Linked DNA regions of Styela clava. The protein of the gene in region 1 purifies or fractionates together with the protein of each later gene. This does not show direct contact. Links are inferred from orthologs where the notes say so. Each region holds a gene or a part of one and is shown in the gene's direction. Other genes may lie near its edges.

Region 1 (7,556 bases):
ATCACCGCCTTGTAACTATTTCTTGATCGCCTATACTTGTGGTTATTCATGTATTGCGTCAATTGGGATATTATGGTGCGTGATGCGTCGCCATGAGTCTGTGTTAAGTGGCGGATTTACCATTAGGCAAGGTGGACTGAAGCCTGGGGATCATTTTAAATTGTAAAGACTTGTTCCAGAATGAAACCTAATTAAATTTCATGAAACTGAAATTTGCTTAATTTTTTTTTAATCGGGTCAATAATTCTTGCCACAAAGATTATTCGTTCAAACGGGTAGAGACCAAATACGTTTGACTAAATGAATTCGTTTAAACTTGAAAAACTCTACCTTAAATTTAAAAGTGAAACAGTTTAAGTTTAACAGTTTTACCATAATGCCTTCATATTTTGAAAAAAAAATTATGAAATATCAATATCTAGCTATATATATATATACTAATTTATCTAAGCAACAATTAACCTAAAAAATTAGGATATATTTGACTATTTCTGGTCTTTTTTTTTTTATCGCAGAACCGTTCGAAAAAATATAAAGCTATATTTAATTATTAGTATGTTTTATTTATCGGCAAGGGGACCATGCCTTCCCACCTCTCGAGACAATAAACGGATGTTAACATTTATTTATACGTCCGATTTCTGCCGCCATGACGTTTTATTACTGTATGAGTTTGACAGAGTGTTTTTAAATTCATTTTACTATCCAATCTACTTAGGTGATTATCGTACGTAACTTACCCGTAGTTGAAATTTTGTATTTCACGCAATTTTATTCATGACGTCCTTTATCACATTCATCAAATTTATAACTAACACGAAAACGTCTACTACCATGTCATAATGGATTAGTTGTGACCAGTGTTCCCTCTAAGAAAATTTCACACTGCGCAAATATTGTTTTTACTGAACAAGACTATTTTAAGGCTGAGCAGAATCCTAAATTATTTGCAAATTTGTTAAATGTAGTAATAGTAGCTTATTATATATCATCGGAATGCGAACAAAGCACACGTTTAACTCAAATAGCTTTTTTTGTTTTCATGCCTTTACAAGGTTTATACATTTTGTCCGTGTTTGTTTTGTTTATTGCTGAATCAAGCGACAATCATCCAAAGAACAATACTTGATGTACGATCTCGACATTTTTGTTGTTGAAATATCATTGCTTTCATCAAAATCAGAAATGAAATTTTGCTTGTCTTATGCTCCGAATGATTTTTTTCCCTGGCGACAAAGTCTATGCTTATCAAAAATTCGAAGCCATAATTTTTGCTTCACCAGGAATGTGGCAATTTAGTGTATGTTGACATGCGACGATTTATTAATTTGCGGGACAATATTGATGAATTAAGCTTAAAACGTGGTGGAACACTATCTATGTGAGGCTTCATTTCACTTGATGGGGTTTTCAAAACTTCACTTTCTTCAGCGGTCGGTATTGCGGTGAAAAAGTTCGAACAACCTCCTCTTGCTTCCACGTTTCGCTTAATCGTTAAAGCATCTAGTGCGTCAATGTGCTTTTTTATTATTCAAATGGCGTTTTAAATAATCAACTTCTTATTCCCTCCCATGATTTTCTTTTTCCAAATTACTAACAGGTGCCACTTCCCGACAAACTTTGTGGATTATCACATTCCTTGACGTGGAATAGTAATAAATTTCGCAAAGTTCAGCAGTTGTTTTAGCTTATGCATACCGGTATCAAGATCGCAAATGAGTGTCGAACACTTCACTGTTGTATTTAGCCATTCCACTTTAAAATGAATTTTCTTATTTTTAGCTTTACTTCCCTGAATAGACATTTCACACACAAACGTCAGATAAAGAAAACTAGTATATTATTGGTTTTGGTTAATATGCTGAATATGAAAACGCTTAAAATTTTTTTTTAGTAATTTCTGGTGAAACATACTCACAACATCGCTATATAACATCGGTATCATTCAGTATAAGCTCATGGCCACGTGTGTACCAATCTAGAGATTTAGGAGGCAACAGTGCTAGCACTCGCTCAAACTCAGCCCTTCTTGAAATTCCAACTAGTTTAACCATATATTTACGGTTCATTAGCCTAACCATACGGCTACGAGCAACCAACAAATTTCCTGTAACAAACAATGGGCACCAGCTTTGCAACATTTGATACCTATTAAAATTCTAAATTTTCTCATATCTTCATCTGTTTGATTACACTACGAACAATAACAAGATTTAGCCGGGTCGACAACACGAAATCCAGAGCGCGCGATGAAAATTTTAAAAACTGACCCACGCTGGCATACAAAAATTAAGGTATTCGTAACAGACAGGTGTGTGACATCACAATGACTAGTGTTTACCAGAATACGCGTGAAACATAAAACGAGCATTCTAGTTGAGCGGTAATAAATATGACATATGAAATATGAGCCACGATTTGAAAACGAAATGTTGCAACTGCGCGAGAATGAGATTTTACTGCGCAAATGTTCTAGTGATACTGCGCAATTGCGCGGTTGGCAGCTTAGAGGGAACCTTGGTTGTGACGTTATTGTTAGAGGGTCCTGATAAATAGCATAATCTATAGTGCAAGGGTGGGCAACCTTTTTCAGTTTGCGTGCCAAAATAAGCATTATCGACAAAGAAAAACATACACTTTCACACAAGTATATATTGAGTTACTTTTTAATAAAATAACAATCTGACAAAATGATTTTATTACTTTTTTCATGCCACATCAGTGTGACATCTGCTGCTGCTTTACCACTGACTGAGATTTTACATCAGGTCTATATTTTGAAACTTTCCGAGAAGTACACCAACTACTAGTTTCATCAGTTTGGCTAATCCTATTACAAAACTTAAAATAAAGTTCATAACTGGGAACAGAGATACACAACCATATGCTGATGAAAACATAAAGAGTAATGCAGTTGCAAAATTTTTCAAGCACGGAAGATTTTCAAGAATGGTAATCCATATCTGCAATAGTTCTTTTTCTGCACTTCTCTCTTGTATTCCCTCCTTTTATCGCATTCTTCCATTATTTACCAACTCAACTCTAAGGTATAATCATTTTTCGCTTTCAATTTTTTTGCTGCCACGAAATTTATTATACACCAAGTTTCATCGGATAAATCAGGGGTTGTTGCCTACCTCTGGACTCTAGGGTTCTCATTGTCTAAATCCGGCTCTGCTCTTGGCAGTTCAGGGCTTACGCGTAATAATACTCAAAAGTAGTCTCCTTTACTTCTTAATGAGTGCGGGTGAACTGGTATTGAGCAAATTCTCTTAAAATATTTTCTCGCTATGTCCATTAAAAAAGCTACAACCCTTGTTCAATGTATTTTCTCGTTCCGAATAGACAATGTGTCTAAAACAGGGGTGGGCAAGGGGTTTGTACCAGGGGTCAAATATTTTGATCATCTAGACTGGCGGGCCATGAAAGTGTGACGTCAAAAGTTACATTTTATGAACAATATTTACAGTGTTACAAAAGCAAAATTGGAAAATAATAAGCCTCGTGCTAAAACTAAGTTTAATTGCAATCTCAACAAATTCCCTGAGCTAATTTTTAGCTGAAACAAAATACCAAAAGAGAGCGAGCTACGCAAAACCAGCGGCACGTGATATGATTGTTTCCCAGAGCGTCTATTTCCTTGTATATTTCTGCAACAGTAACTAATCACCAATAAGTTAGCAATTAGTGCAGTAGCTCAGAAATTTTTTATATATACACGTCTATGGATGTAAACATTGCCATTTTTACGGGGTTTTGGGTGTTGTTTGTCAGTTTTTAGTTGTGTGTCCAAAGATTAGTTTTAAATCAAATTCATCTCTAGTAAATCAAGTAACTTGAATGTCATTTTGTTTTCAGATGAGTTTTTGTATATTTAGTAAATTTTCTAAAAAAAGGGCTGCAATGGGATATACATATTTATCCCGAGAATAAGAAAGCCGATAAGACGGCTTAATCATATGACGAACCACGGACACTCGTTCAGTTACCAGTAGCCTACATGTCGGAGTAGGGGATTAGTTAGTCAGTTATTTGTTTTTAGAGGCATGGACTTGATGGTAGAGAAAGCCTTAACCTACCAGAGATTACGTGTACTACTCTACGGCGGCGATGAGTCCACCAATCCTTTCGCACATAACTATCCCCGCATGAGATCGGATCTGCGAACCCACGCGGTGTAATCAGAGGTTCGCGGCGAGCATATTCCTAACGCTCAGCACGATGTACCACACCAGCGAGACTGGGCTAAAACTAGCTATCAATACCCGCAAGCGATATTTGGATAAATACATTTATGAAAAATGATGGTTTTGAAGCGCCAATTTTTCAAAATACTCTCAACATGAGCATCAGAAATGTGCATTGTATCTTGTATGTACTTTAGAAAAAAATTCTTGGGTCAAGGGTCGGGGAAACATCCATTTTGATGATTCTCCGCAATCCATTTGCACAAAATTACATAGGATTACGTTGTCTTATTGGTTTATATTCTTTTTAAAAAAAATATTGAAATAAAAAAATTATCTGATTGTTTTACCCTATTCATTTATTATATAAATGTATAAATATATAAATGAATATGTAACTGGGTTTACGTAAATAATAAATAATAAACGATTTTTCGGTCGAAATCTCCTCGTGGTCTCAGCGAGCAGACAGACGTATTTGTTGCTGCGAACGGCGACAACAAGTTCTTGCAAAATGGTAAGTACATTTAGTTTACCGAAATTGTAGTAATAGGATGTACTGACGTAGTATTATTTAATACAAATAAAATTATGTGAATATGTTTTTATATTTCAGAGTGTAGGCCTAGTGGTGAAATTTATATAGAATATTTTGTTGCCTGTCTCTTCGCCGCGGTAGGCCAACTTAAGAACTTACAAAACATGAACGTAACTAGTACCGTACCGGTACGGTAACACAGCAACATGTTTGCTTATATTGATTGTGTGGTTGTAGGCCTATAATAATTTTCTTATAGTCTGCCAAATATATAATCATTTATATACCTGCATCCTTCTGGACTGTCAGACTCTGATAACCGATAAGCAATAACCAGATAACTGGAATATATATGGGCAGTACATCACAGTGGTTCGATTTCAAAAATAACCCCTTTATTTGAAGACAATTAATTATAAATAAGTTTAAATAGATGTTAAAAAGTTGATAAACCAAGCAATTTTGACAACCCGAATCTTGAGGTTTCACAAACTGAGACAATTCCAGAATTCACAATCATTATTCGGACCTCCTGAAGTAGGGTGGCTTACCCACTTTGCGGCCATGACCTATCTGCGACCATCAACTTCATCGATTGAATTAATGTCGAAAAAATTAACGAACCGCGACGATATTTCTCACGCGTTATCGTCCACTTATCCCTCGTAGCTCGGCGAAATTACACTAAAATGCGGCCACAAATAAAAAAGTTAAGACCGAAAACCTGACCGAAGAAAAAAAACAGACCATTTTACCATGTCGCCAACTACCCATTGTTCCTTTAAAAAAGCTTGAAAATCCATACAAATATAAGAGATAAAGAGATGAAACTTGGCAGGTGGGTAGAGTTGTGTTGCTTTTAACCATCTTTAAAGTTTCGCGTTTCTACATTCAAAGTAGGGGGGTGCGCATTTCCAATACGTCAATAATATCTTTGTCAACTAATTTGCGACCACCGTGTTTTTGTCTGTTTGATTGCTGTGATGCGGTGCTTTGTTTATAATTTGAAGAATTTTGTTCGAAATAACCGTGTTCTCAAAATATATGACGGTCAGAAATGCAATTAGAAGCCCATTTTTTCACGCATGGCTGCGTATGCCCTAGTCTCGACGCAGCAGAAACGATGTTCAAGGCTTGTAATCCGTGATCGCACACTGGTCGTTCGGTCGCAAATACGTCTTCAGAGTCTCGTACTTTGGTGGTTTGTTTAGCTTTAACCCCTGGTCGTAGAAAGTTAATTCGAAGTTCAGCGTGTAGAATAAATGCCAATGCACCTACGGTGAAAAAATTAACGGGTTTGAAATATTGGTTTTTGTTTTATAGCGGTTTGAATGAAATCGTCCGCAGACTGGCTACACCAACCTATGCGCACCAAGATGGCGCACAACCTGAAGTCAAGTTGTGTTCCAGGTTAGGGTTCAGGTTGTGCGACAGCTTGGTGCGCATACTTCAGGAGTACCCATTATTCTCTAAACAATTTTGTTTGTTTCAGTTGTACATTCTGTACGAACACGCAACTGGATATTCGCTGTTTCATGTGCAAGAAGTAGAAGAAGTTGGAGCACTGTTGCCGACAGTCGAGAGAGCAATCACAGATGTCGCTCTATTCAAGACCATTGTTAAATTGATTGCATTTTCTCCATTTAAGTCGGGAACTAATGCACTGGACAATGCTAACGCTATTTCTGAAGGTTAGTATACACTCTTACCAGCTATTCCTATGCCAAACTAAAGACCAATACCTAGAAGAACGATAGTTGTTTTATACAAACCATTGGCTGTTTATCCAGACCCTCTGATAGAATGCATGAAATGCTTCATTGTTCAGAAGACTTAACAGTTTTGAATCTGATTTTCTTAGTGTTGTTCTTTACTGTTTTCTTTGTGTCAAATGCATGTGATCTGATGAATCGTACCTCTTTCATTTGTTTATTATCCTGGTTTTGCCCTTTTTGAAAATAAATGGTTAAGTATTATAGTAAGCTCAAATCATAACCATATTTTACTCATTTACACAATCACAATGGTAAAGCTGATAAGACTGCTTGAGCATATGGCATACCACGACCACTGACTGACTTGAGTGGTGAAATTACCCACTTTAATAGATTAATCTATTCTGCATCATTTCAAATAGAAATTGAACATCTCCAAGAAATTCTAAAAACCTGTCGCTTTTGCTTCCTAACAATAAAACATTTCTTTTATCAAATATACCCAAATTCGGCATGTTTACGCATATTTCTATTACGTATATTATGACTTCTTATTTCAAAATTCTATGACTTTGTTAACCTTCTTTTCATAATAATATCTTCTTCTAGGTATTGTTCATGATGATTTGAAATTGTTTCTGGAAACTAATGTTCCAACTGGTAAAAAAGCAAAGAAATCAGGGTTCGAACTTGGTGTGTCTGATACAAGAATAACGGCAACAATACAGGATGAACTTGGAATCAAATGTGCAGTTGGGGACGCTGTAACAGAAATATTCAGGGGTAAAGTATAAGGACAGAATTTAGGACCGAAACCCCTTTTTCGACTTTTTTCGTAAAATAGTTAGTTGTTTTGCCTCAAGTGTCATTAATTTTTTAACTTGATACTGTTATAATCGAGAAGTCACGTTTTTTGATTCTATTTATAGGATTTTTGGATGAGCAATATTCATCAGCCTCTTCTCTTAGTGTCCAATATTTTAGTATGAAATTCACCATATATCGAAGTAAATGACAAGCTTGGGGAAAAAATTGTATTCAAGAATGGAGACCCTTCTTGTCCTTAATTCAGTATAAACCCATGTTTGTAGATGTGGTTTATGTTGCGTTCTAGAG
Region 2 (7,591 bases), on another chromosome or scaffold:
GCTTCCCCTGCGCCACCGCTTCTGATGAAGATCGAGTGGATCAGAATCTTACTTAGTTACCGACTCCACGCTTGACAGCCCACGACAAGGCTAAATAACCCCGAAAAAATTTACTATATTTCTATCACCCGGAATAAATATGTAAATCCTATCCTACTTTTCTAAGTTTCACAGCTAATTTTGATGTCCGGTACCGTATCTACTCGAAATGGTATTGTAGAAGTTTTACCTCAGAATCGAAACGAGGTTTTTACAGTCGACACTGCTCCGATTTGACTGCGTCTTGCTTCATTCTACCAGCCACGTTCTACAGTCTCTACGTTCTTGCCAACGTACTCATGTTCGCGCGAATGTTCCACGGTCGCAAAAGCTTTTCCACATGATGCCGCTCTGCGTTTTTCATAGTTACGTGCAAGTTCTACCAAATGCAGAAAATGAGCTTCAAGCACGAGGTTATTCCAATTTCGCAGACGTTTGAAACGACCTGTCCTGCACAGATTTATTGAGTAGAATTCACGTCCAATAGATAGGTGCCGATATCAGAAGACGTTCTGTAACCACTGACCTCCAGACTCTTGGTGGATTAATAAGTAATTACAATTCACTTCGGATGGATAGGTGCCGATATCGTTAGACGTTACCGGTACCGATATGGAACCACTGACTTTCAGACTCTTGGTAGGAGTGGAAGTGGTGACTCCTCTGCGGCCCATGGGCCAGGGCCATGGCCCATAGAATTGGGTCTCGGCCCATCAGGCTATGGGCCGCGACTCACTTGGCTAACACAGACAGTCCCCGAACTCATGATAGAACTAGGCTATAATGTAAAAAATCGGATTTTTTTTGTCCTAACCCTAACCTGGTACACATACTACAGGAGTATATTTTTTTGGTTCGAATATTGACAATTTTGTGAAAATTGAAAATTTTGGTAAGATAATTGAATTTTTCCTGATGGGGCCGGCCCATGGACCGTAGTGGAGTCACCACTCTGCCACTCCTGTAGCTTAGTAGACCAGTAAACGGCAAAATTCGATTTGCCCATTTATTTTAGAAATTCGGCGTCGTAACATTTATTAATATGCCAGTCGTGATATTATCAATCACAGCAAAATACATCAAAATTATTATTTTTTTTGACAATTTTCACATTCTGTCATTTCAGCATTTTATGGCAGTATGGTGGGTTGAAAATGACAACACACTTACTGAAATTTGCTCGAAATTTGGGGAAGTAACTTCCAAGAAGTTGCTAAAAAATTGAGGTTTAAATAAACATTTTGACATCTGAACATGCAGACATGTCAAATAAAGATATCTACCAGCCAAGGCAATTTCACCATGTAATGTAACCTGGCATATGACTTAAAAACATACCTACTTGCTACTTCTGTACTTGCAAGATAGATTTCATCAACATTGGGTAAATTAGGTAAAAAATAACTCCTGCACTATGTGAGTGATCAGGCTTCATGCGGAGCTGTTTTATGCAACAAATAAATATGATATAATCTACTAAACGACATCTTACTGTCTTAGCTTGTGACAGTAGCCATAACATTGACCATTTTGTTGTCGATTTTTGGTACGGCAGCTTTAGCTCGTGCCATGGACATCGTTTGGAGGGTAGGTATATGGCTTATTCGACATATGGGACCTAGCATCTTCATAACTACCCTCGTTTGGACAGGGAGAGGGGGGAATTAAATTGTAACATGTTTCAATAGTATAATTTTAAAATTGAATACAATTAAAACTCAATCATTTCTAGTGCATTTTCTTTGCCATGGGTGACATTTAACAAAGATAAGCAACTGCAGAACTGGGGCTTACTAGCCAGGTTCAAAAAAGATTAGTTTAAACCTCTGGTTTGAATGCCTATTTGACTAGAGAAAAACTAACATACTTTTTAGTGCAAATCTTGTTTTCAATTAATCTAAAAAATTTGGGGCAATGGGGGCAGACTATCTGACGATGGTTATTCACTGCTTTCAACTCTCAGCATGGTCAAATCAAACTTCTGACTTTTCCATGAACCTCATTTCATTTGGACCTCTTGCAATTTTAATTACTGAAAAAAATCTGCTTCCATTTTAAAGCATTTTCAATGTCTTTTTTTATAGATTTTAGCTTACCCAGTTGTCTTATAACAACAGAATAATGGGAATTCTCGGTCTCTCAAAGTTGATATTCGACAAAGCCCCATCTGCTGTCAGAGAAAATAGCATTAAAAATTACTTCGGTCGAAAAGTTGCGATTGACGCCTCAATGGCCATTTATCAATTTCTGATTGCAATTAGACAAGATGGAAATCAATTAACAAATGATGAAGGAGAAGTAACTAGCCATCTTGCAGGATTGTTTTATCGTACAATTCGAATGTTAGACAATGGTATAAAGCCTGTTTACGTCTTCGATGGTAAACCTCCTCAGATGAAGTCTGGTGAGCTCGAAAAGCGAAAGGAAAGACGAGAGGAAGCTGAGAAGAAACTTGCGGAAGCAACAGAGGCAGGAGAGCAAGAAGAAGTTGACAAATTTCAAAGACGACTCGTGAAAGTCACTAAACAGCATATGGATGATTGTAAAAAGTTACTTACTTTTATGGGAGTCCCTGTCGTCTCTGCACCAACTGAAGCAGAAGCACAATGTGCTACTTTGGTAAAAGCTGGAAAAGTTTATGCAACGGCCACAGAAGATATGGATGCTCTTACATTTGCATCCAATAGACTTCTACGACATATGACATTCAGCGAAGCAAGAAAAATGCCAATACAGGAATTCACTCTAGAAAAAGTGCTTCAAGAAATGGAAATTACACAGGAACAATTCATTGATTTGTGTATTTTACTTGGTTGCGACTATTGCGGGTCCATTAGAGGTATTGGACCTAAACGTGCCTATGACCTCATCAAACAACATAAAACAATTGAAGATATTTTGGGGAATATTGACAAGAAAAAGTACACAGTACCAGAAGATTGGGCATTTGCTCAAGCAAGATCATTGTTTATTGAACCTGATGTTTCTCCATGTGATGACATTGAACTTAAATGGAAAGAACCAGATGAAGAAAAACTCATCGAGTTTATGTGCAAAGAAAAAGGTTTCAGTGAAGATAGAATTCGAAATGGAATCAAGAAGTTAATGAATAGTAAGAAGCAAAGTACACAAGGCCGTCTGGATGACTTTTTCAAAGTCAAAGTATCAGCATCACCAGCTGTGAAAAGAAAATCTGATCCCAAGGGCAAGAATACACCTGCAAAGAAAGTGAAAAAGGAATTCAAACGAGGAAAATGATCTTCTAGAAAATAATCAATATCAAAAACATTTTTGTGTATGCATAAGATACTCAAGAATAATCAATATCAATACTTTTATTGAGTCTGATTAGATAACAGAGCGAGTGAACATGTTCATTTATGGGAACAATGTCTTGTGTTACCTTGTAACCTTGTTGGTTAGTAGACTTGTTCCTATTTTGTAATAACGGCTATTTTGCTATTTTTTTCCCACCTTATGGACTCCAAAAATATTTCTGTGGAAGCCAGGATACCCAGGTGAATAAATAATCTACACCTCTTATCTCTTCGGCACCTAATTTGTGTATAACTTTGCGGTATATGCCACATTTAATTTGAATATATGCTCATTTTAGGGCTGCATTCATAAGGAAATATGAGATTTAAAATCAGTGGTATATTATTGAATAAAGAACTTGCTTATAACTTCATGTAATTGAAGTTTTAATCTCATTTCAACTCATTTGTTACACATTATTGAATAGACTGTTCTTTTTGTACTATTTTTCATACCTTGTTCCTCGTAAAGTTAGATTTTTTTCAAATCACAGCCTTTATGTAAATAAGCGGCCTTGTGTCTTTTGTTCTCTCTACCCCAGGATGAACATTTATCTTCTTTCAAAACAATCATTGAATGATATAATTTGTTATTAGCAATTTAGCATATCCATTTTTGTTTGTGTAGTATTTGTGATACATTGTCAAGAATTCCATTTTAAATAAATATGCATATCCTGGCTCGAGATCAATGAAAAGTTTAAACTTCGAAGTTTAAACCCTTATTATTTTTGTATTGAATGCTGTAAAAAATAATATCAACAAATCTTCTTCAGTGGTCTTTTTAAAATAAGGTTTTCAAATATATTGCCAGATGCTGACTTAATATACATATTATACATTCTCTCCGCTAGATGGTGCTCAAGATTAATAAAAATTAGATTTTTGTTCAGAATGTTTATCAGTTGGACTGGAATTTCGAAAAGATCATTCATTATTGATATTTATATAGCATTCAATTCTACTGTACTTGCATAACATTTGCTTATCTCGTTGTCAACCTATTATGTGCTTTGCCAAACTTTTTGATTGCCTCACTGCCATTACATTGACTCTTTTTATAAGGTTTTTGTACACATTGTTTTAGACATGCTTTCATTGCCCACTTCTGAAAAAGTTATCTCAATCATATTTTGTTAGCTTCAGCTTTGTTCACAATCTTAGCATATTGTTTTTTTTTTTCAGCTTATTAATAAAATTCAGAATAAAATTTTCCAATGAAAAATATACCTACTGAAAAGAGCTCAGTTGTTGCCAAGATGGCCGCGCAATCATGCGACGTTGAACGATTGATTTATAAATATTTTATAGATCGTAAAATGACCAAATTGGCAAAAAAGTTTCGGAAAATCACGGACACTAAATTACCAGAGTCGGATCAACCAACTTTGAAAGAGGCATATCAATTATGGAAGGAAACTCAAGTAGACCAAAAAACACCGAATGGAACAAGTACAACAAATGGAAAAACTACAAAAAGACCAAGGAAAGCCGATCCACCATCTAGCTCTGAAAGTGATATGTCATCATCCGATGAAGAGAAGAAAGTTCCAGCTAAAAAGGCTAAAATTATCCCCAAGAAAGAGGATTCTTCTGAATCCAGTGAGGATACATCCTCTGATGATTCTGAATCAGACAGTGATAAAAAGAAAGAAGTAAAAGCGACTGTAAATAATAAGAAAAAAGAATCTAGCTCTGAAGAGGATAGCTCAGAGGAAGATTCAAGTAGCGATGAAAAAAATAAGAAATCCGCATCTGGGAATCTAGTAAAAACTACAGTTTCAGAGTTGAATGGAAAGAAAGATCCAAAGAAGAGTAAATTAGAGAAAACAAGGGAACAAGAATCATCTTCCAGCTCATCTGAAGATTCATCAGATGAGGAGAACACTTCAAAAAGCGTTGCAGTAGTGAAAAAGCAACCTGTGAAAAAGAAAGAATCATCAGATTCCAGTGAAGACTCTGATGATGAATCTTCTGATTCTGAGGATGAACCGAAAAAGAAACTTTTAGTAAAGAAAAAAACTTCTCCAGCAAAAGTGAACCAGAAAAAGGAAGAATCTTCATCGGAAGAAGACAGCGACAGTGAAGAAGAGGAGAAGGTTTCTAAAAACTCGATGAGTGTGTCAAAGACAATAAAAGCTAAAGATTCATCAAGTTCTGACTCATCATCTTCTGAATCAGAAAAAGACGTTGAAACAAAAAATGCTAAAAATGTTTCAGCTGTAGCTAAAAAGGAAGATTCTTCAAGTTCTGAAGACACATCTAGTGATGATGAAAAAGAAGAAACCAAGCCTGTTATAAAGAAAACTGCACCTGCTATTAACTCGAAAAAAGAATCCTCATCTAGCAGCTCAGAAGAGTCATCAGACGAGGAAAAACCAAAGGAAACAAAATTGAAAGCAGTTGTCAAACCAGTTGCTAATAAAAAAGAATCGTCAAGTTCAGATGAATCCTCTAGTGATGAGGAAGAAGAAAAAAAAATAAGTGAGAAAACCAATTTGAAAACTTCTAAAAAAGAATCTTCAAGTGAGGATGAGGATTCATCCAGTGAAGATGAGGATGTGAAAAAGGCAGATGCTAAAGTAACAAAACCCACAAATACTAAGAAAGAATCCTCATCAGATAGTTCAGAAGATTCTTCTGAAGATGATGACAAGAAGAAACCAAAGCAAACAAATACTTCAGTAACAAAAACAAAAGATTCCGGAACCTCTGATTCAAGCAGTGATTCAGATTCAGAAGATGAGAAGCCTAAGGCAGCACCTGTTCAGGCTCAGATCAAAAAGAAGGAAGATTCTTCATCATCAGAAGAGGATACTGATAGTGATGATTCCAGTGAAGAGGAGGATGCAAAATCTGCAAAGAAACCGGAGGTAAAAAATACGCCACAAGTTATTAAGAAAGAAGAATCTTCCTCCTCAGATGAAGATGATACATCTGAAGATGAAAAAAAGGTTACGATAAATAAAACTGAAACAAAAGAATCATCTTCATCTGATGATGATTCTTCTAGTGATGAAGATGATAAAAAGAAAGCAAATTTGGTTGCAAAACCTAGCGCTAATACAAGCATTTTAAAAAGAACGCCTGTTGCAAAATCTACTCCTATAGCAGCTGGAACGAAGAGGAAGAAGTCAGCTTCGTCAAGCAGTAGCAGTAGTGAAGATTCTTCTTCTGATGATTCTTCTAGTGACGATCAATCTTCTAAAGTAGTATCTGTTACTCCAGCGAAAAAGAAAAAACTGGAAATAAAGTCAAAGAAAACCACAAACAATAAAAAAAAAGGGACCATAAAATCGAAATAAAGTTTAGGTGATCATGTATGCATTGAACAATATCAGATATGAGTCAGGATTGTTACAAAAAAATTATGAACGGTTCATGTATGTATCCTATACATCACTTAAAGTGGAGGCTATATATGGTGGTTCATTAAGTTTTTTTTGAACAGTTAAAAAAAATAATGCTCAATTTGATGAATTGATCTAATCTGTAATAATGTCTAATTTTCACAATTGTCAATTACTCATAACATATTGATTATATGAATTATAATCCCATGATATGAAATTCTTACATTTTTGTCACAGTGTCCATGAGTCTGCCTGGGGTTAATTTTTGAACTTAGAAACCTTTTTTACTGAAGGGTAGTATTTCTTGGTTAAACCTTTGTTTTATTATCTTGATTTTCTTGGGACTTGAGAGCAAATGTGCTTTAGTTTGGGACCAAATATATCTTGGTGTTTGGTGGATTTTATCCTTAGTATGGTTTTTATTTTTACTAACTGTGTGTTTCATCCGGGACCCATTGCCATATTTGATATACATGAATTTATTATTTCTTCGAATTGGAGCTGATGTTTAAAATTTTTCATACGGTCTGTATCTGCCCCATTTCCACCTTTTCATTTTTTAAATCATATTGTGTGTCTGGTGCTGTAATATTTAACAGCTTTGTTTATTTGAAATGTGAGCTGACAGTTTGATAAAGTCTGAGTTTGAAGTTTTCTTATTTGCTCAACTCAAATAGTTTAATGATTCGTCACCTGATTTATCATTTATGACATAATTTATTTACCTGGCTTTGTCTGAGTCCACAATCTCTCGACCAGTACTATAGATTAATGTTAGAGTTGAATGAGCTGCTTTTTCCAATGGAGGTTTTAGCAATCATGGTACAATTTCATTTGTTAAGAATGGTTAGGAATGACACAGTCAGCGTTTTGGTTTAATTC
Region 3 (7,723 bases), on another chromosome or scaffold:
ATATTCGGGATTATTATAAACACGAAAAAACAGTATTTGAATTTAAATTCGATTTGGACATCCCTGCATTAAATTAGTCAGTTTTTAGTGGTGTTTCCAAAAATTAGTTGTAAATCAATTATTTTAATTGTCATTATGTCTTCCGGTGAGCTTCAGTTTAGTTTAGAATTTTTCCGGGGTTAGGGTCGGGAAAAGGTCCATTCGCAAGAAGTGCATTTTGTTTTTAGTGTTGACGAATTCACCCAACGAGCAAGGCGCGGCACGAGGGAAACACTGGAATTTATTCAAGCCGTGTTTCACTATCCACGAGGCGCAAAGCGAGGGAAACGTTGAAAATAATTAACAGCTTTTCGTTAGCAATTCGCTGGAATGTAATGAACGGCGTTTTGCTACCCACGAGGTGCAAGACATAGCGAAGCGCCGTTAATGAACGAGTGCAAGGTAAGCGAAAGGCTGGGATTTAATCGATGGCGTTTCCCTTTTAACCATGAGCAATTTATCGTGGTCAGCGGGGCGACACCTAGTGGCGTTGCGACTCACGTCGTGGTTGCACTGTGTAAATTCCGGTCGGACCCCCCCCCCGTTGAAAACAGCCTGGTTGCGCCACTGGGGACAAATACCAAATTTATGGTTCCAAAAGTATAGACATGCTGCGGGAGATAGAAAGCAGTATAGCGAAGGTACTTTATATAGGTTCGTATCAAATTGGGAAAAAAGTCACAATCATTTAAAGCCATTATTACACATGCAATATTATTTTCCCAAATCAGTTCATTATGTTTTGACTTTTAATATCACTCTTTTTTATTACTGGCTGGAAAAATAAACTCGACTAAATGCATGCCAACTGATCTTCCATTTCATTATATTTTCATTTTCAGCTTGCATGGTTAGGACTTTAATTTGATCCTTAATCAAACATCTTGTTAGTCTGTGTAATTTACATGCATGAAGTGGGAATTATTGCATAATACAAGGTGTTCTACCTTCATCTACATCGTCTCGAGCGGCAGCTTCAAGTAATGTAACACTATCTCCAAATTTAACTGATCTTTTGTTATCATTTGCTATTTGTCCGTTTGGTAATCCTGCCTTATCTTTTTCATATTCAAGCTCGGATTCTTTCCAACGCTGAAGTTGTTCTTGTCGACGTTGCCTTGCATGGATCAGCCTTGAAAATATATTTTTGTTAGAAATAATGTCAAATGCTGATAATATGACAAAAATATGCCAAAATAACTTTAGTGGAAAAGGAATTCCCCATGCAATAGCAGTTTTTCTGGTCGTATTGAATTGAACCCCTTCACATCTCACGCCAATGGCTAGCATCCAATGCGCTACCCCTATTTCAATATAGTTTTATTAGCTCTTTCAGTGGTGTGACCATAACTTTGTAGAGATGAGTCTCCTTGACTTTTGGCGGTTATGTGATCCACCTTACGGCGGCAAGGAGTTCAGCAATCTTCTTTTAATAATCATCCCCCACAAGATTCGAAAGTGCGAAGCAATGCAGAGTAATCAGAGGTGCGGTGGCGAGCATATTTCTAATGCTTATTACAATGAGTCACACTACCTGGCCGATAATGCTTTTCTCCAGATAGATATTTTGCTCATTATTTAAATATAATGCCATGGTTGCACACACAGAAAAATTAAATCCTCATTATATCAACACAAAAAACTTTTTTACCTGTCTTCAGTTGACATGCTGTTGACGTAATCAATTTCTGCAACAAGATTTGCATGGCTCACCATTTCTCAAAGTACATTCCAGAACGAAGGTTATAATTACCTGCCTAGGTAGCTAGATTGCATTGCTATTAAAGTATGATAATTCACCTAATCTATGCTGGAAAAATGAGGAAAACAGTTTCTGGTTTGCACGAACTAAAGTTAAAAGTAGGGCCCTGGATATAAAATACAGTAAGTAAATTAGATTTTCCGAAATGGATTGTCATAATACCATTTTAGGCATACAAAGCCTAAATTTGATCGAAATGTACTGAATACTTGAAATGACAAAGAGTAGAAATGAAAGTGACACACAATATGACATCCTATAAACTAAGAAATACTTGATGATATTCGTAATACAAAAATATATCAAAATATCTTTTTCTGTCTCTTTGAGTAATTATTATATTGACAAGAAGACAATTTCCCATTACTTAAAAAAATTGATGAATTAATACAACTCAGGACTCAACCATTCGAAATCAATGAAGCATAGCTCGCCAGAATAATACCATCTTAAATAATGTGTAGCAGAGCTGCATGGTTCCACTTCATTGACTACCACATTAAAATAAGATTCATACCAAACAGACTGGACTACAATAATGACAAAAATGACATTTTCCTCTAATCTGCACTTTCAAACTCATTTACTTAGAAGATACAAAACTGTTGCTTTTTATATCATGTGAAATATTCTAACTTATTCTTAGTAATACTAATACGTAGACTAATGTTTATTCCAATTTTTCTTCTGGGCCAATCGTTTCTAGATAATCGATTCTTAATCATTAAGCAACAAGTCTAGAAAATATCTCTAGAGACAAATTAGAAGGGAATAGATGCATCAATAAAAACCTTGCTCAGCTGAAAACGACCTAAGGGAACTGAATGCAATTTGGTAATTTCTCCGAGATGATTAAACCATACTATTAAATAGTAATTTAAACTGTAAGTGTTATTGAATACTACATTTATTAAACGTTTAAGAATATTAAAATTCAGTTGAAATGGAATATATTGGGTCATACTCATACCCCTAGGATTTGGTATGAAAAATCGTGAAAAATGAATATAATTTGAAAAGTTCCTTTAAGAAATAGAATAAACTAAAGTATCAGTTGTAAATGTTGCAAGTGTTTCAAATTTCTAGTTGCAATACTCTATGAATAACCCACAATAGATATTTTCACTCTTGTTTCAGCATACATGGATAATACAGATTGACCGCCTCTAGGGCATAGAAAAAGGATAATTAGTTGAATTAAAAAAAAACGATTATCAGCATAAAATATTGTTTGAACCCGCCAACCTGAGCAAGCGCGCACCTAATGCTACTATCTAATAGAAACCAGATAAAACTTCTTTGCACACAACACAGTTCCAGAAAATCTATTTTCTTCCATGCGTAAGTTACAAATGCATTGTATTGAAATCTAAACTTTGTAGCGTAATTACCCTCTTAACAAGAATACTTTGCGGTTTAAATTGATTTATATGCATAACTGAACAACAAAAGTCTATCATGTTACTTCACATTACGTTCACTCCAATGCTTATGAGCTATTGATTATAGATCAAGTATTTGAAAGGTGAGACAGTTGACGAGACTTGAAGTGCGCATTCTAGGATATTTATTTATTTTTTATTATTTATATGAGTTAAGTTTATTTCGGCTCCATAATCAGCATAACAAATGATAAGATAATTAATTGATAACTGATTATAAAACCAGGATAGCAAACAAAACCTTAGGTAATGTTCAAAGCGTACAAAATATAAGTTGAAAGGTTTTGCCAAAGACAAGCGGAATTGATTTTTAAATTTATTTTAAAAGTCAGAATGATTAATTCAAAATAAATAAAAATATTGCAAAAAGATTTAATATAGACATTTTGTAATATATGGATATTGATCTAAAAATCAATTTAGGCCATTAATCATGTAATCCTAAAAAAATGCTTAAATGGCTTCAATTAGACTACATTGGAAAGAACTAAGCGGTATCTTTTCAATGATAAAAACTGCCTAGGACGCAATCCTTTTAGTCTAAGACCTGAAAACGAAATGCAATATCTGAATATTAGGCAATATCTTTTGGGATACAGAAATAGATTTAAGGTTAATTAAGACTAACAAAATTGTTATAAATAATATTATTTATATAATTATTTATAAATTTTTATTTTCTGTCTTTGTTATCTTCTCAAGTTGATTAGACCTAAGGTTTGAATACAAATTTTTTTAAAGTGCCGTCATCGTCTTAATGATTCACAATTTCGTTAATAAATTCTGCGATCTCAAGTCCAATTTGGTTTTCAAATCCACTAAACCAGTGAACACTCAAGCTTAGCACTGCGAGCATAGCATTCTGATGAATTGCAATATAAACTTCTCAACCCTAATTTAAAATCTAGTAACGAAAACGTGTTCTCTAAAAATTATATAACTTTCAAAAACAGGTCGTGACGAGATGCACCAAGCCATCGACCAAGCCGCTAGCAAACAGATTAGCAAGTGCGGCGTTGCAAAGCGAGCAACTCTCACGAAATGAGAACGAAGAGACAAAATTTTGGCATAAACCACATCCGCGAGATGACGCCCATGGGTATTTATGAAAGAGCCATAAAATTTGTTTTGTGGTGCAAAATTTTAAAACTATTTAAACCCATTTTTTTAACTTTCTAGTTATCGAAAAAAATGAAGTATTGCGAAAACTGTACAATTAGAACGTAAAAATTTGTAAAAAATCTGTTAAAAGTAAAACTAATTGTCGGACAAAAGATACGCATCGGTGGTCATAATTGTAGCATGTAATTTTGATAGTTGTCAGATATACAGAAATTTAAATTTTTTAAATTTGCAATTAAGTAACAAATCCCCAACAGACTTGCATAAAATTGATGTTTCCATAATTGTATTTTTTTTTTTTTAATTTTGGAAACTTATCAAAAATTTATAATGTTACTTTTAGTAAAAATTTTGCAAGGATGTCAAATGTGATTTACTCCAATCTGGTAACCCTTCCCTAAATCGACAAAGTTTTAATATCTGTCTTGCTAAATTTCGCCGTTTTTTCGTCATTTTGTGATTCAATTTTACACAAAATGGAGGAAGTTGCTGCGGATGCGTCACAACTATTAAAAAATATAACTGAAGAGGAGAAAGAAAAATTAAAATCTATCACTGTTGAGAAAGATATTGACCTCGAATTCGACCTGGGAAATCTTATTGCAACGGACTCCAATTTACTGGATTCACAAGCTTTCAAGTAAGATACATCTAATATTATACTGCTGTATTAGTGAACAAGTTTTAAAGTAAACAGTATATGGAAGAACAATTTTGTTTCTTTACTTTTTTTGCTGTTGATTCTCAATACCAGATTTTTCTTGTACTGGTATAATCAAGTTATATTAAACTTATACTTACAAATAACTGATAAACTACATACCTATCTATTTAAGTATACGTTTATTTCGACTCCATAATCAGCATAACAATAAAATGATTGGTAAAAAAAATGATGATTATGAAATCAGGAGAGCAAACAAAACCTTAGATAAGGTTTAAAACGTACAGAATGTATACAAGATGGAAGGTTTTGCCAAGAAAAAGTGGTACGTGTTCACTTACCTAAAATAATGGGAATATTTCACACACGCTCACACGCACCCACACTCACAACCATACAGAAGTTATAAATTACATACGGGTAATTTAAAAAAATAAATAAAAATTACTTGCCACACCATATTAATAAATTTATAACGTTTGCCACTGCCGAATTGATAGATTTTATAAATGGGAGTGAACAGTAGAGATGAACTTTTATGAAAAATGTATTGCCAAGCAGATTATAGTTATGGAATTACTCAATCTCATTCCAGGAATTTACTGTCTAAGTTGCACGTTTTTCTCTTTTTGAGGATAGTTGCATTTTTATACCATTTGCTAGCTCAGTAACTTGTCAAATTTGCATCATGAATTGATCTTTTGTACAATAAACAAAATGGAATCGTCAGCATAATAAATCTCGCAAAATGACCTTGGGTCTAGTGTAGTTTAGTGCCTCTTTAGTACTTCTAGTGGACGTGGAATAACTATTTTTGCATATTTTATTCCCAACACTACCCGACGACAAAGCTTTCTCGGTTTAGGGTAAGCATCTACACGGTGGGAATAACTGTTCGTGTATTTTTCCGTGTCTTAACGTGTTACAGTGAAGTCATCATGGTGACATAATTTTTGGATGACGTAGTCAAATGGGGGGTAGGAATTACATATGCAAAAATTGTTGAACTAATCCCTTGTACTATACCAGACCCACCTGCTCAACTTAATTAAAATAAATTGGTTTAGAATGCTATTTGGCTCTAAACAACCCCAGCATCATTTTCATATAAAATTTTTGAGCCATGTTTACAAGCCGCCACTTTTTAGTGTTTCCCAATTCTAATCAGCTCCCTTGGCACTGGTCCTTTGCATAATCGCACATTCCGTTCGCATCAACTGGCCATATAAGGGAACGGTGTTTACTGAATGTGTGCCTAGTTTTTGTAGTCATACAAATTATCAGTTTTCAATCATTTTTTTCAGGCAAAATTCAGAAGACTACATCAAGAAACTAACAAGAGACAACACACAATTGCTATTTAATGAAATATGGAAAGTGAGAAAGTTGTTTTTGTTTTAATATTTGCAACAGAGAATTGGCAATACTAAATAATTATTATACTTGAATGATTTTGAATTGGGTAATCAAGTCCATGCATCCGAAAACGAATAACTGACTAACTAAACTATTCCCATACCCGACATGGACTGGTAACCGGACGGAAGGGTGTGGTTCACCATATGATTAAGCTGTGTTATAAATATATAAATCCTCCCCTATCCTATTGATTTTATTGAGAAAAGAAATCACTGTTGTGGAGTCTGGTCCTGGTGATATAAAATCGGACTCTTAGTAATGTGATTTGGGTTCTGACATATCAGAATTTGATTCTTTTATGGTCATCTTTAATCTGTAGTGTAAAAAGTTTCAATCTCGTCTTTTAACCTGAATATCAATGAAGGATAAATGGCAACATTAGTGCTTCATTGATAATGTTGTAAAATTAATAATTGCTATTTTTGTTTTACAGTTACCAGTTGAACGAGTACAAGAAGCCATAGTTGCCAAGGTATAATGTAAAAAATAATTATTTGTTATGGGCATTCCCGTAGCATGTGTACCAGGTTAGGGTTAGGCCATAATTTTATTCTGATTTTTCTTATTTTAGTTCTTTTACGAGTTCAGGACTGTCCGTGTGAGACAAGTAGATATACCCCCTGCCCATAGGTTTCAGTCCCTTTACACAACTTGATGTAAAGTAGGCAAACAAAATTAGTTACCTCCATATTGGTACACACACTTCTAGATGCACTATACTCTCATGATTAATTTAAATCTAACCTTGAGTTTACAATCTTGTTTGAAAATCAAATGAGACGTTTTGCTCAGAACAGGGCTGTAAACAGGTTGCAATTCAAACTCAGATCAATTGAATTTTGATTATGTTTGCATAAGGATCAGTGGTGAGCTGCAGCCGAAACGCACCGGTAGGCTACCTAGTTTTGGTTGTTAAACATTTAATGGCATTTGCGCTCCTGTTGTTGGAATAAAATTATGTCATGGGGAGTCCCGTTTAACTTAGTTAATAACTGTACGGTTTGTTACGGTCATAGTACGTTTTCACAAGTTAGGTACATACTGGTTGTTACAATTTTTCCATCTCATCACTGATAAGGATGCCAATATCAGTTATGGCTATTAGTCATTTGTATTAATAAAGCCATTGTCCGCTTGTCAATGATCATTTTGTATGTAAAAACTTCTGCTTTGTAGAGTTTCCACTTAGTTATTTTTCTGACAGGGATAACTTGAATTGTTTCAAGTTTTTTCAACTGTCATCTATTAATAATTGCAGAGATAACCTTGTATAAA

What was found. Proteins that work in one complex are often made in the same cells at the same time.
Region 2: the proteins of nucleolar protein 56-like (region 1) and uncharacterized protein LOC120330391 purify together in Homo sapiens (affinity purification with mass spectrometry; 6 studies listed by BioGRID and IntAct, with this or other methods). This does not show direct contact. The link is inferred for Styela clava from reciprocal best matches to the Homo sapiens genes NOP56 and NOLC1.
Region 3: the proteins of nucleolar protein 56-like (region 1) and ribosome biogenesis regulatory protein homolog purify together in Homo sapiens (co-immunoprecipitation; 3 studies listed by BioGRID and IntAct, with this or other methods). This does not show direct contact. The link is inferred for Styela clava from reciprocal best matches to the Homo sapiens genes NOP56 and RRS1.

Annotation. Positions count from the first base shown.
Region 1 is NC_135258.1:15,344,971-15,352,526, forward strand, and holds the start of nucleolar protein 56-like, read left to right. Parts: upstream 1-4,547; 5' UTR 4,548-4,701; coding exon 4,702-4,704; intron 4,705-6,217; coding exon 6,218-6,416; intron 6,417-7,049; coding exon 7,050-7,223; intron 7,224-7,556. UniProt on the Homo sapiens protein: Involved in the early to middle stages of 60S ribosomal subunit biogenesis. Required for the biogenesis of box C/D snoRNAs such U3, U8 and U14 snoRNAs. Part of the small subunit (SSU) processome, first precursor of the small eukaryotic ribosomal subunit.
Region 2 is NC_135261.1:11,303,017-11,310,607, forward strand, and holds the start of uncharacterized protein LOC120330391, read left to right. Parts: upstream 1-4,573; coding exon 4,574-6,661; 3' UTR 6,662-7,591. Other genes in the region: flap endonuclease 1-like, read left to right, coding at 2,161-3,297. UniProt on the Homo sapiens protein: Nucleolar protein that acts as a regulator of RNA polymerase I by connecting RNA polymerase I with enzymes responsible for ribosomal processing and modification.
Region 3 is NC_135263.1:4,727,857-4,735,579, forward strand, and holds the start of ribosome biogenesis regulatory protein homolog, read left to right. Parts: upstream 1-4,705; 5' UTR 4,706-4,841; coding exon 4,842-5,005; intron 5,006-6,333; coding exon 6,334-6,406; intron 6,407-6,881; coding exon 6,882-6,920; intron 6,921-7,723. Other genes in the region: protein phosphatase 1 regulatory subunit 16A-like, read right to left, coding at 987-1,171, 1,691-1,755. UniProt on the Homo sapiens protein: Involved in ribosomal large subunit assembly. May regulate the localization of the 5S RNP/5S ribonucleoprotein particle to the nucleolus.